Linked DNA regions of Saccharomyces cerevisiae S288C. Changing the gene in region 2 together with the main gene of any one other region gives a genetic interaction. Each region holds a gene or a part of one and is shown on either strand. Other genes may lie near its edges.

Region 1 (2,676 bases), on a different chromosome or scaffold from region 2:
TAGATTCGACGTATTGAAGTACTTCTTGGCCACTTTTCATCTTCTGACGCGGTGAGCTTTTAAGAGCCCTTCTTTTTCGACTGGCCACGTGAGAAGACATACAGTTCAGCTTACATAGCTTTGGCCCATACAATACCTATGTGCCCCAAACCGCAGAGACGATTAGCACACCTTTTTACCTGCACCACAGTCATTTCTCGATAATGGTGAAAACACAGTGATACCACCGCACAGCAAAGGTGCTGCCAATGGACTTGAAATATTTTATGGAGTGCGAATAAAAAAATGCTCATGGACTCGAATATGAGATGCAAAGCCACCCTGTGCAAAATGGTTATCCTTGTGGGAGAGTGTTACGACAGTGATGTGGCATATTATTCTAATGTATGGTCTGTGTAAGTACGAAATATTCTGAAATGGCATCCGTTCAAGCAATGGTAATATTAAGGAACTTATACGTTAATGACGTCATGGTGGTATTGATACGTAATTGAGTGTGTTTATGTATTATCGTTGAAGGATAGAATATTTTTATGTTTAGGTGATTTTAGTGGTGATTTTTTTGTAATATTGACATAAGTGTATATAAATTGAGTGGATAGTAGATGGTGAAAAAGTGGTATAACGTATGTATTAAGGGCAGTTATACAATATTTGGGGCCGCCGAATGAGATATAGATATTAAAATGTGGATAATCGTGGGCTTTATGGGTAAATGGCACAGGGTATAAACCGCTGAGGCAAGTGCCGTGCATAATGATGTGAGTGCATTTGTACTGATTTAGTGAGAGATGGGCCATGGAGTGGAATGTGAGAGTAGGGTAAGTTTGAGAGTGGTATACTGTAGTAGCATCCGTGTGCGTATGCCATATCAGTATACAAGTGAGGGTGAGTATGGCATGTGGTGGTGGGATTGGAGTGGTAGGGTAAGCACGTGTGTATTATTTACGATCATTTGTTAACGTTTCAATATGGTGGTAGAACAACAGTATAGTGAGTAGGACATGGTGGATGGTAGGGTAATGGTAGGGTAAGTGGTGGTGGAGTTGGATATGGGTAATTGGAGGGTAACGGTTATGGTGGACGGTGGGTTGGTGGTAGGAAGTAGAGGGATGGATGGTGGTTGGGGTGGTATGGTTGAATGGGACAGGGTAACGAGTGGACAGTAGGGTAATGGAGGGTAAGTTTGGAGACAGGTTGGCGAGGGTTAGATTAGGATAGCATATCTATGTCACCTTATTGCATGCTGGATGGTGTTAGACAAGGCCGTAGGGACATATAGCATCTAGGAAGTAACCTTGTACGAAAATAGGCAATATTTCCTGTTTGACGCAGATTTTAGCCCAAAGATCTAGCGTTAAGGAATTTTTTTATAGTGGGACATTGCAAACCAAGGAAGTAACTTGATACGTCGTTGGTGAATGGGTCTGTTTTCTTATTCGGCGGGGTAATACATTTTGAGGGAAGGTTGTCTGTCTGACGCGCCATATGTAGGTACGCCAAAAAGGGCTCCTTTACTTCGAAGCGCGAGGTCGTATACCTAATAAGGAAATGTAATTTATAACTTTTTATTATATTGGTCTTTTCGAGAGCGGAAGAAGTTGTAGGCTAAGCGCAGGCTAAGCGTAGGTCCATGTTTAAAGTATCCAAGAGAATATCCACGAAGCGGCTGAGCAACGAACAGAATCCTGGTTCTCCTCGACTAAGCAGATAGTTAAGATACTGTGCACCATGGAAATTGAAAACGAACGTACGTACCGACTACTTTATTTTTGCAGGCCGGAAATCAAGCGATGAATGAGACATCCTTCTGTTTTCTATGTTGTGCTTGAAGGGGACAGACAGTCGCTTATCTTAGTGAGATTTTGTTTGCTTTTGCTGCACCTGCATAGCGCAGATTCTGCATCTTCTCAATAGCTTAATTATTACATTCTTAGATGATGATAAGACGGAAACTGGAGAATCTTTTGTTTATATTGATGGATTTCTTGTCAAAAAGCATAACAATCAACATACTATTGTTAATTTCGAAACTTACAAAAATAAAATGAAAGTTTCCGATAGGCGTAAGTTTGAAAAAGCAAACTTTGACGAGTTTGAGTCGGCTCTAAATAACAAAAACGACTTGGTACATTGTCCCTCAATAACTTTATTTGAATCGATCCCCACGGAAGTGCGGTCATTCTACGAAGACGAAAAGTCTGGCCTAATCAAAGTGGTAAAATTCAGAACTGGTGCAATGGATAGGAAAAGGTCTTTTGAAAAAATTGTCATTTCCGTCATGGTCGGGAAAAATGTACAAAAGTTCCTGACGTTTGTTGAAGACGAACCAGATTTCCAGGGCGGACCAATCCCTTCAAACAAACCACGTGATGGTCTACACGTTGTTTCAAGTGCATACTTTGAAATTCAATAGAAAGGATTACGATACCCTTTCTCTTTTTTACCTCAACAGAGGATACTATAATGAGTTGAGTTTCCGTGTCCTGGAACGTTGTCACGAAAAAGCGAGTGCTAGGCCGAACGACAGCTCTACGATGCGTACTTTCACTGACTTTGTTTCCGGCGCACCTATTGTAAGGAGTCTTCAGAAAAGTACCATAAGGAAATATGGGTACAATTTGGCACCCTACATGTTTTTGTTACTACACGTAGATGAGCTATCGATTTTTTCTG
Region 2 (3,494 bases):
TTTGAACAACTGGGACGTTATGCTCCTTTAAAATAGAGGCGGCCTCTTCTAAGTGAGGGCGTAAGATCTGAGAATGCAAACACCATGGAGCAAAAAACTCGACGAGGACTAACGGATGAGATTCGATGAATGATTTAAATTTCTTCTCTGTTAGAACGAGTAAATCTGATCCCGGCGTAGCTCTTGCGCTGTTTTCAGCCAACGTGAAAGAAGCAAACAGGCAAAACGAGACTATCGCAGATATAAATCTTGTGGTCACTTGCATGGTATTATATGAGCGGGTGCTTGTTGGGAGATTGCCATATAATTGAAACGTCAAGTCTTGGAAATTGAAACTTTCTGAATGCTAAAATATCTATTGTCTTAACAAAAAAGGACACGCGTGCCTTTGAAAAAAAGTCTCGGTACTTTTCGTACATTGCCAACTATCGTTTACGTGTTTTGAAGGGAAAGCAAGCTTATATATATATATTTAATTTTGCTATGAAACAAAACCAAAAGACTAACCAGGAAAGTTAATCAGAGGATGACTGTTTTTGTGGTGGTGGGGCGAGGATGTCAGATTCTGCTGACTTCGCAGCGGTAGATGACTTATCTCTGCCTTCATTAAAATAGTCATCCATTGCCAATGGCTGGGTACCCTTTTTATTTTTTGATTTCTTCTTTGTTGGCACCGGTGGTGCTGTGAATGCTGATGGCACAAAAGCCGTCTCAGATTCTACTGGAACAGGAACAGGAACAGGGTTGTCATCTTGCCCCTGCTGCTGTGCTTGTTGTGGACAGTGCTTTACTGTTGGAATCCTGTGAAGAAACCCGTATCCAACGTTGCAACCCAACCTGCCGTCGGGACCTATATGAACTGTGATTGGTCTCACACAGTCAGAAACTTTGTTGTAGACATAAAGGACCAGATCGTAGTTTGCTCTTGATCTAACAATATCTTGTAAAAGCGTCTCCCCTCCCGTGGCCAACAGGCCATCTTGGCAGCCGATAATGTAGTCTTCATCTGGGATGAGCCCTGCCGATTGGGCGGGTCCATCTGGGATGTTCACGTTCAGGATATGGTATGTGAAAGTGGAAGCTATCAAAGGCGTCCATTGGACTTTGAACCCGAGTGCTTGGAACTGGTGCGCTTCCCCACTAGATGGCCTCCTCTCGTCATGGTTTAGAGAAACATCGTCCAAATCGTCGCTCTCCTTCGATATAATGCTGATATACTCGTCTCTGAACGTGCCTCCTTTAGCTGACCATATGTTGACCTTCAAAGTTCGGCCACAGTGTTCATTGAAGATGGATGTGATACGACGGTAATCTGGGTACGAAAATCCGTGTTGATTACTGACCACCGGCACCGGATCATCATTGAAACCTACTATATAGTCGAAAAAGGACTGCAGTTGGAACTGCATCTCGTCCACCCAAACAATGCGGAGACCGGAAAGCGTTTCATTGACGTTGGTGTGCTTAACACCTTCAGAAACCGCATCTACGGGTGATTCCAACTGAGCAGACAACAAATTTGGTGGTATAGACTGAAAGAAAGCGTCCAGATTGCTCGAGTCCTGCGAGAGTGCCAGGGTATCTTGCACGCTCTGCTCAAAAGTCCGTACGAGGTTTTTAGCTATTCTAAACATAGTTCTTCTTCCTATACCTTTTTACTTCCCTAGTTTCGCACGCTGTGTCGGTCGCAGTTACAGTAGTAGTCTCAGCACCCCTGTTCTTGGTCCTGATCCCGTTGCGACAAGCCCATTTCTTTTATGATAGCCAAAATGCAACTAAACCTCGTCGTCGTCGGCTTGCGTGTCCGCCGCGAAGACAGAAAAATAACGAAACGAACTTAATAGAAACGACCTAGATTTTATTTGGAAGCCAGCCCGATGCTATCTTCAAAATGGCTGTCACTGGGTGCAAAGGCGGTGGGAGAGCCCATTAAGTAATTTAATCGGGTTGTCTCACCAATGTTAGCCACAACGCAACGCTACGTCGCCACTCTGGCAGCCACCGCAACGAGCAGTAGCAACTACTTTCGGGTGGGCCCTTCAGGGGTAGTTGCCTGCGTCTTTGTTCGAAGAATCAAGTGACAAAAAACGCGGGGCATCCAGAAAGTCTTTTTGTGTGTGTCGTCGAAAGGGAAAGTGAGAGAGTGAGAGTGAATTAGTGTTTGTGTGTGTGGAAGACAGAGGAAGAAGATCGGGTCGTCGAATTCTATTATGCTTGCGATGCAGGGGGGGGAAACATGTATTCGGGATTATATAAAGTCGATTCTGTGTAAGTGTAAAATCTCATCTTGTCTCGTGTTCTTTTGTACGTCTCATACTTATAGGAAGTTTAAATAGAAACAGATATCAGTGTATCAAGGAAGAATTGTACAAGAATCGAATCATAGATACACAGTAATGTCATTTGAAAATTTACATAAAGTCAATGCTGAGGCATTGGAAGATGCAGTGGTTGAGATCTGCTCCTCATTGCAGGTTGATGCAGCAAAGTTGGACGAACTAACAGCGTACTTCATTGAATGTATGGAAAAGGGGTTGAATAACACCTCTGTAGGCGAAGAAAAGACGGTGGACAAGGGTCTACCCATGATCCCTACATATGTAACCAGTTTGCCCAATGGGACGGAACGTGGTGTTTTGCTGGCTGCAGATTTAGGTGGGACTCACTTCAGAGTGTGTTCTGTGACTTTGAATGGTGACGGAACCTTTGATATGCAGCAATTGAAGTCTAAGATTCCGGAAGAATATCTAAATGACAAGGATGTCACCAGCGAGGAGCTGTTTAGCTACCTGGGTCGCCGTACAAGGGCCTTCGTTAGGAAGCATCATCCTGAGTTGTTGAAGTCCACGGGGGAGAACATAAAACCTTTGAAAATGGGATTTACCTTCTCATATCCCGTTGACCAAACCTCTTTGAGTTCCGGTACTTTAATCAGATGGACCAAAAGCTTCAAGATTGAAGACACGGTCGGCAAGGATGTCGTGAGGTTATACCAGGAGCAATTAGACATTCAGGGGCTCTCTATGATTAATGTGGTAGCTTTGACCAACGACACGGTTGGCACTTTCCTATCCCACTGCTACACTTCAGGCTCTCGTCCATCGAGTGCTGGTGAGATTAGCGAGCCTGTCATTGGTTGTATCTTTGGTACTGGTACTAACGGTTGCTATATGGAGGATATTGAAAACATCAAGAAGCTACCAGATGAGCTCAGAACAAGACTGCTGCATGAAGGAAAAACCCAAATGTGCATCAACATCGAATGGGGTTCTTTCGACAATGAATTGAAACATTTGTCTGCTACAAAGTATGACATCGATATTGACCAAAAATTTTCTCCAAATCCAGGTTACCATCTATTTGAAAAAAGAATTTCCGGCATGTACTTGGGTGAGCTGTTAAGGAACATCCTGGTGGACTTGCATGCAAGGGGCTTAATCTTGGGACAGTATCGTAATTACGATCAATTACCTCACCGTTTAAAGACTCCTTTC
Region 3 (2,740 bases), on a different chromosome or scaffold from region 2:
TGTTTCTAATGTCTCTATGTGGGGCATTTTCGATAGTGGGAGATTTGTTAATCCGTCCTGGTTCCACTTCGTAGCTACAAATCGAGGATGAGGCCTTGCATTTGGAGCAAGTAGGCCAAAGTTTATCACATTTGATTTTCCTTTGCTTACACCGCAAGCAAACAAACGATGGCTTAACCTTTTTCTGAGATGCAATGCTCATATCCAGTGCAGTACACTTATCTTGTCATAGATTTCTGATGGGTAAATAATTACTTCACATCATCTTTGTTTCCAAAGTTTGGCCTCAATGTTGCCTTTAGGAGGAAAAAATGTGAAGAATGCATACTTCTGCCGCTTACGTAAAAACAGAACTCTGACCAGAAGAGATAAAAACAAAAAAAAAATAAAGGACAGTAAATATGAAAAATAAGATATTATTATATTAAATTAAATTAAATTAAATTAAACTACGATGGGAGCGTTATGCCAAAAAAGATAAAATTCTGAGCAGACTACTCTCAGTCTTCCTTCTTTTGACCTGCCGCCTTTTCGGCATTAACGTATGTAGTGTAATCAAGGATTTGTAATAATTGCCACACTGACCAGGCTAAGAAGGCACCCAAAAGTGGGCTAATCCAGTAGATCCAGTGGTAATGAGGGAAATATCTGGCAGCAACGGCGGCACCCAGAGATCTTGCAGGGTTGACACCGGTACCAGTGTAACCGGTCAAAGCCATGTGAGCCATGAATAAAGAAATACCAATTGGAAGCGCAGCCATAAAGTTAGTTTCACGTTTTTCAACAGCAGTCATCAAAACTGTTAAACACAACACAGCAGTACCAAACATTTCCAAAAACAACCCCCTAGATCTGGAACAGCCTAAACCCAAAGCATTAGTAAAGAGAACCTTGCCTGGAGTCATAGCACTAGCGGCACCACCAGCAGCCATCCCAGCAATGATCTGAGGAAACCACATCACTACACATCTGGCTGGTGAGATGGCTCTGGCCAAACACAAAGAGAGAGAAACGGCTGGGTTCAAAGCCCCACCAGAAACACCAGATAGAAAACATCACAGAGAAACCGAAACCAAGGGCAATCATGATCAATTGACCTGGATGAGAGCCCTCAGGCTCGGTTGTCAAAGCCACATCATGGTTAGCGACATTACAAATGACGTAAGCACACCATAAAAACATGAAGGTACCGCAAAACTCACCCACAGCAGCGATAAAGTGGTTTCTTAAGGTATCTCTGTCAATATTAAAACGCGAATGCTTCGTTTCCGGCTGTTCAGGTGGAATATAAGCATTGTCAACACCGGTCGGGTCCAAGTGCGAAATGTTTTTTTCAAGGTCGTTAGATTCGTTAGACATAGTATAACTAAGGTAGGCTAGTGTCGCTTTTGAATATTTTCAGGAATTGTAATAGCCAGGAACAAGAAAAAAGACATGCGCACACTAATAAGCTACTAAAACCAACATATTTATACTATCAACCGAGAGAGGGGCAGATATGATTCACGATAAAAAGTTAATAAAAGGATAACAGCGGCGCTCTAATTCGTTAATGAAAGCCATAGTCCGGTATGGACAAAAACTATTTCCTTCTTTTTTTTTTTTAGGTTTTTTTTTAATTTGCACTTGCAATAATCTAATTCACTGTAGGAGTTTAAAGAAAAACATCTAGAAGGATTGGAGGAGGTAAGTCATTATTATGGCGGTGCTCTTTTAGCGGGAAAAAAAAAAATACACCTACGACGTTAAAACAGATCGTGCTGTCGTCTCAGCGGCAGTAAAAGTACTGTAGTAGTTACGGTGCACGCAGATGCAATGCTAATTAAATAATCATGCTCCCATTTTTAAGAAGCAGAAAAAGGCCGCAGTAATTTGAGCCGTGAAAAGATTTCGGAGGGTTGATTCTTAACATTTTCCAAAAAAATGTCCTTTGGTCTGTTTGCTTGGGTCTGAAAAGAAGGACTGCAGCGCCACCTCCACTGGTTAAGGACAAAATCCATACTTATTCCATCTTTCTCGGGACATATTTTCCTGAGACAAAAGACCGTAGAACTTCAAAGACTCGTTCCCAGAAAGGGATTTAGAGTTAATTTTTGCTCGGCATCAAGCCGGAAAAATTCAGGCGCCGCTTAGTAATTAATTGCAAGTAAAGAAGTACCGGATTTATTAGACATCGTCTTAGCAAGCAAATTCCTGAAAGCTAAAACGCAAATAATTAACTAAAAATAGTTGCTAAAGAGCACCTTTTATGCGGTACATAAAAGTTTTTAGTGCCGTAGATATATGTAGATATAGGTGGGCGTAGGATCAGAAGGAGCCGGAGAGAAGATTTACCAACACTGATATTCCTCGAAATACTCTATAATTCTCTCTGGGTAACCGAGGAGTTTTTGAGAAACGGTGTTTCTAACATCGTCCACCAGAACAGGAGGGCCGCAGCACACGACCGCTAATGAATCTCCAGGCGGCGTACTTTTTATTGCGTTTTCAATTACATTGCTAAAATTAGGTCTTGCATTGCCGATGTGGGCGAAGCTTGTCAGTTCGGTCATTATATCATCAAAATGTATTAATTGGTCTCGTGCGTTTGCTGCCTTTGTAACAGCTGTTTTCTGTGTAAGGTAAACCTGCACGTTGACGTGGGATCGGCTATTTTTTAGCTCTAGTATCTCGGATTTATAGCCGTTAAGAAAAGAAGGATTTTTGATCGCCATGATCAAATCTATACTCTTGGGTTTAT

Evidence for each region. A genetic interaction does not mean that the proteins touch.
Region 1: mutations in GRH1 (region 2) and YER188C-A together harm fitness more than expected from each alone (negative genetic interaction), as found in Saccharomyces cerevisiae (one large-scale study listed by BioGRID).
Region 3: mutations in GRH1 (region 2) and YLL053C together harm fitness more than expected from each alone (negative genetic interaction), as found in Saccharomyces cerevisiae (one large-scale study listed by BioGRID).

The regions. Positions count from the first base shown.
Region 1 is NC_001137.3:569,108-571,783, forward strand, and holds YER188C-A (uncharacterized protein), read right to left. Parts: upstream 801-2,676; coding exon 501-800; downstream 1-500. Other genes in the region: YER189W (uncharacterized protein), read left to right, coding at 2,048-2,416; YRF1-2 (Y' element ATP-dependent helicase protein 1 copy 2), read left to right, coding at 2,373-2,676.
Region 2 is NC_001136.10:1,475,379-1,478,872, reverse strand, and holds GRH1 (Grh1p), read right to left. Parts: upstream 1,635-3,494; coding exon 516-1,634; downstream 1-515. Other genes in the region: protein disulfide isomerase EUG1, read right to left, coding at 1-265; EMI2 (putative glucokinase), read left to right, coding at 2,397-3,494. UniProt on the Saccharomyces cerevisiae protein: Involved in the spindle assembly checkpoint. Involved in ER to Golgi vesicle-mediated transport by either facilitating USO1-dependent and -independent tethering or increasing target accuracy of fusion events of COPII-coated vesicles.
Region 3 is NC_001144.5:35,003-37,742, forward strand, and holds YLL053C (uncharacterized protein), read right to left. Parts: upstream 960-2,740; coding exon 501-959; downstream 1-500. Other genes in the region: YLL054C (uncharacterized protein), read right to left, coding at 1-202; AQY2 (Aqy2p), read right to left, coding at 910-1,359; FRE6 (putative ferric-chelate reductase), read right to left, coding at 2,331-2,740.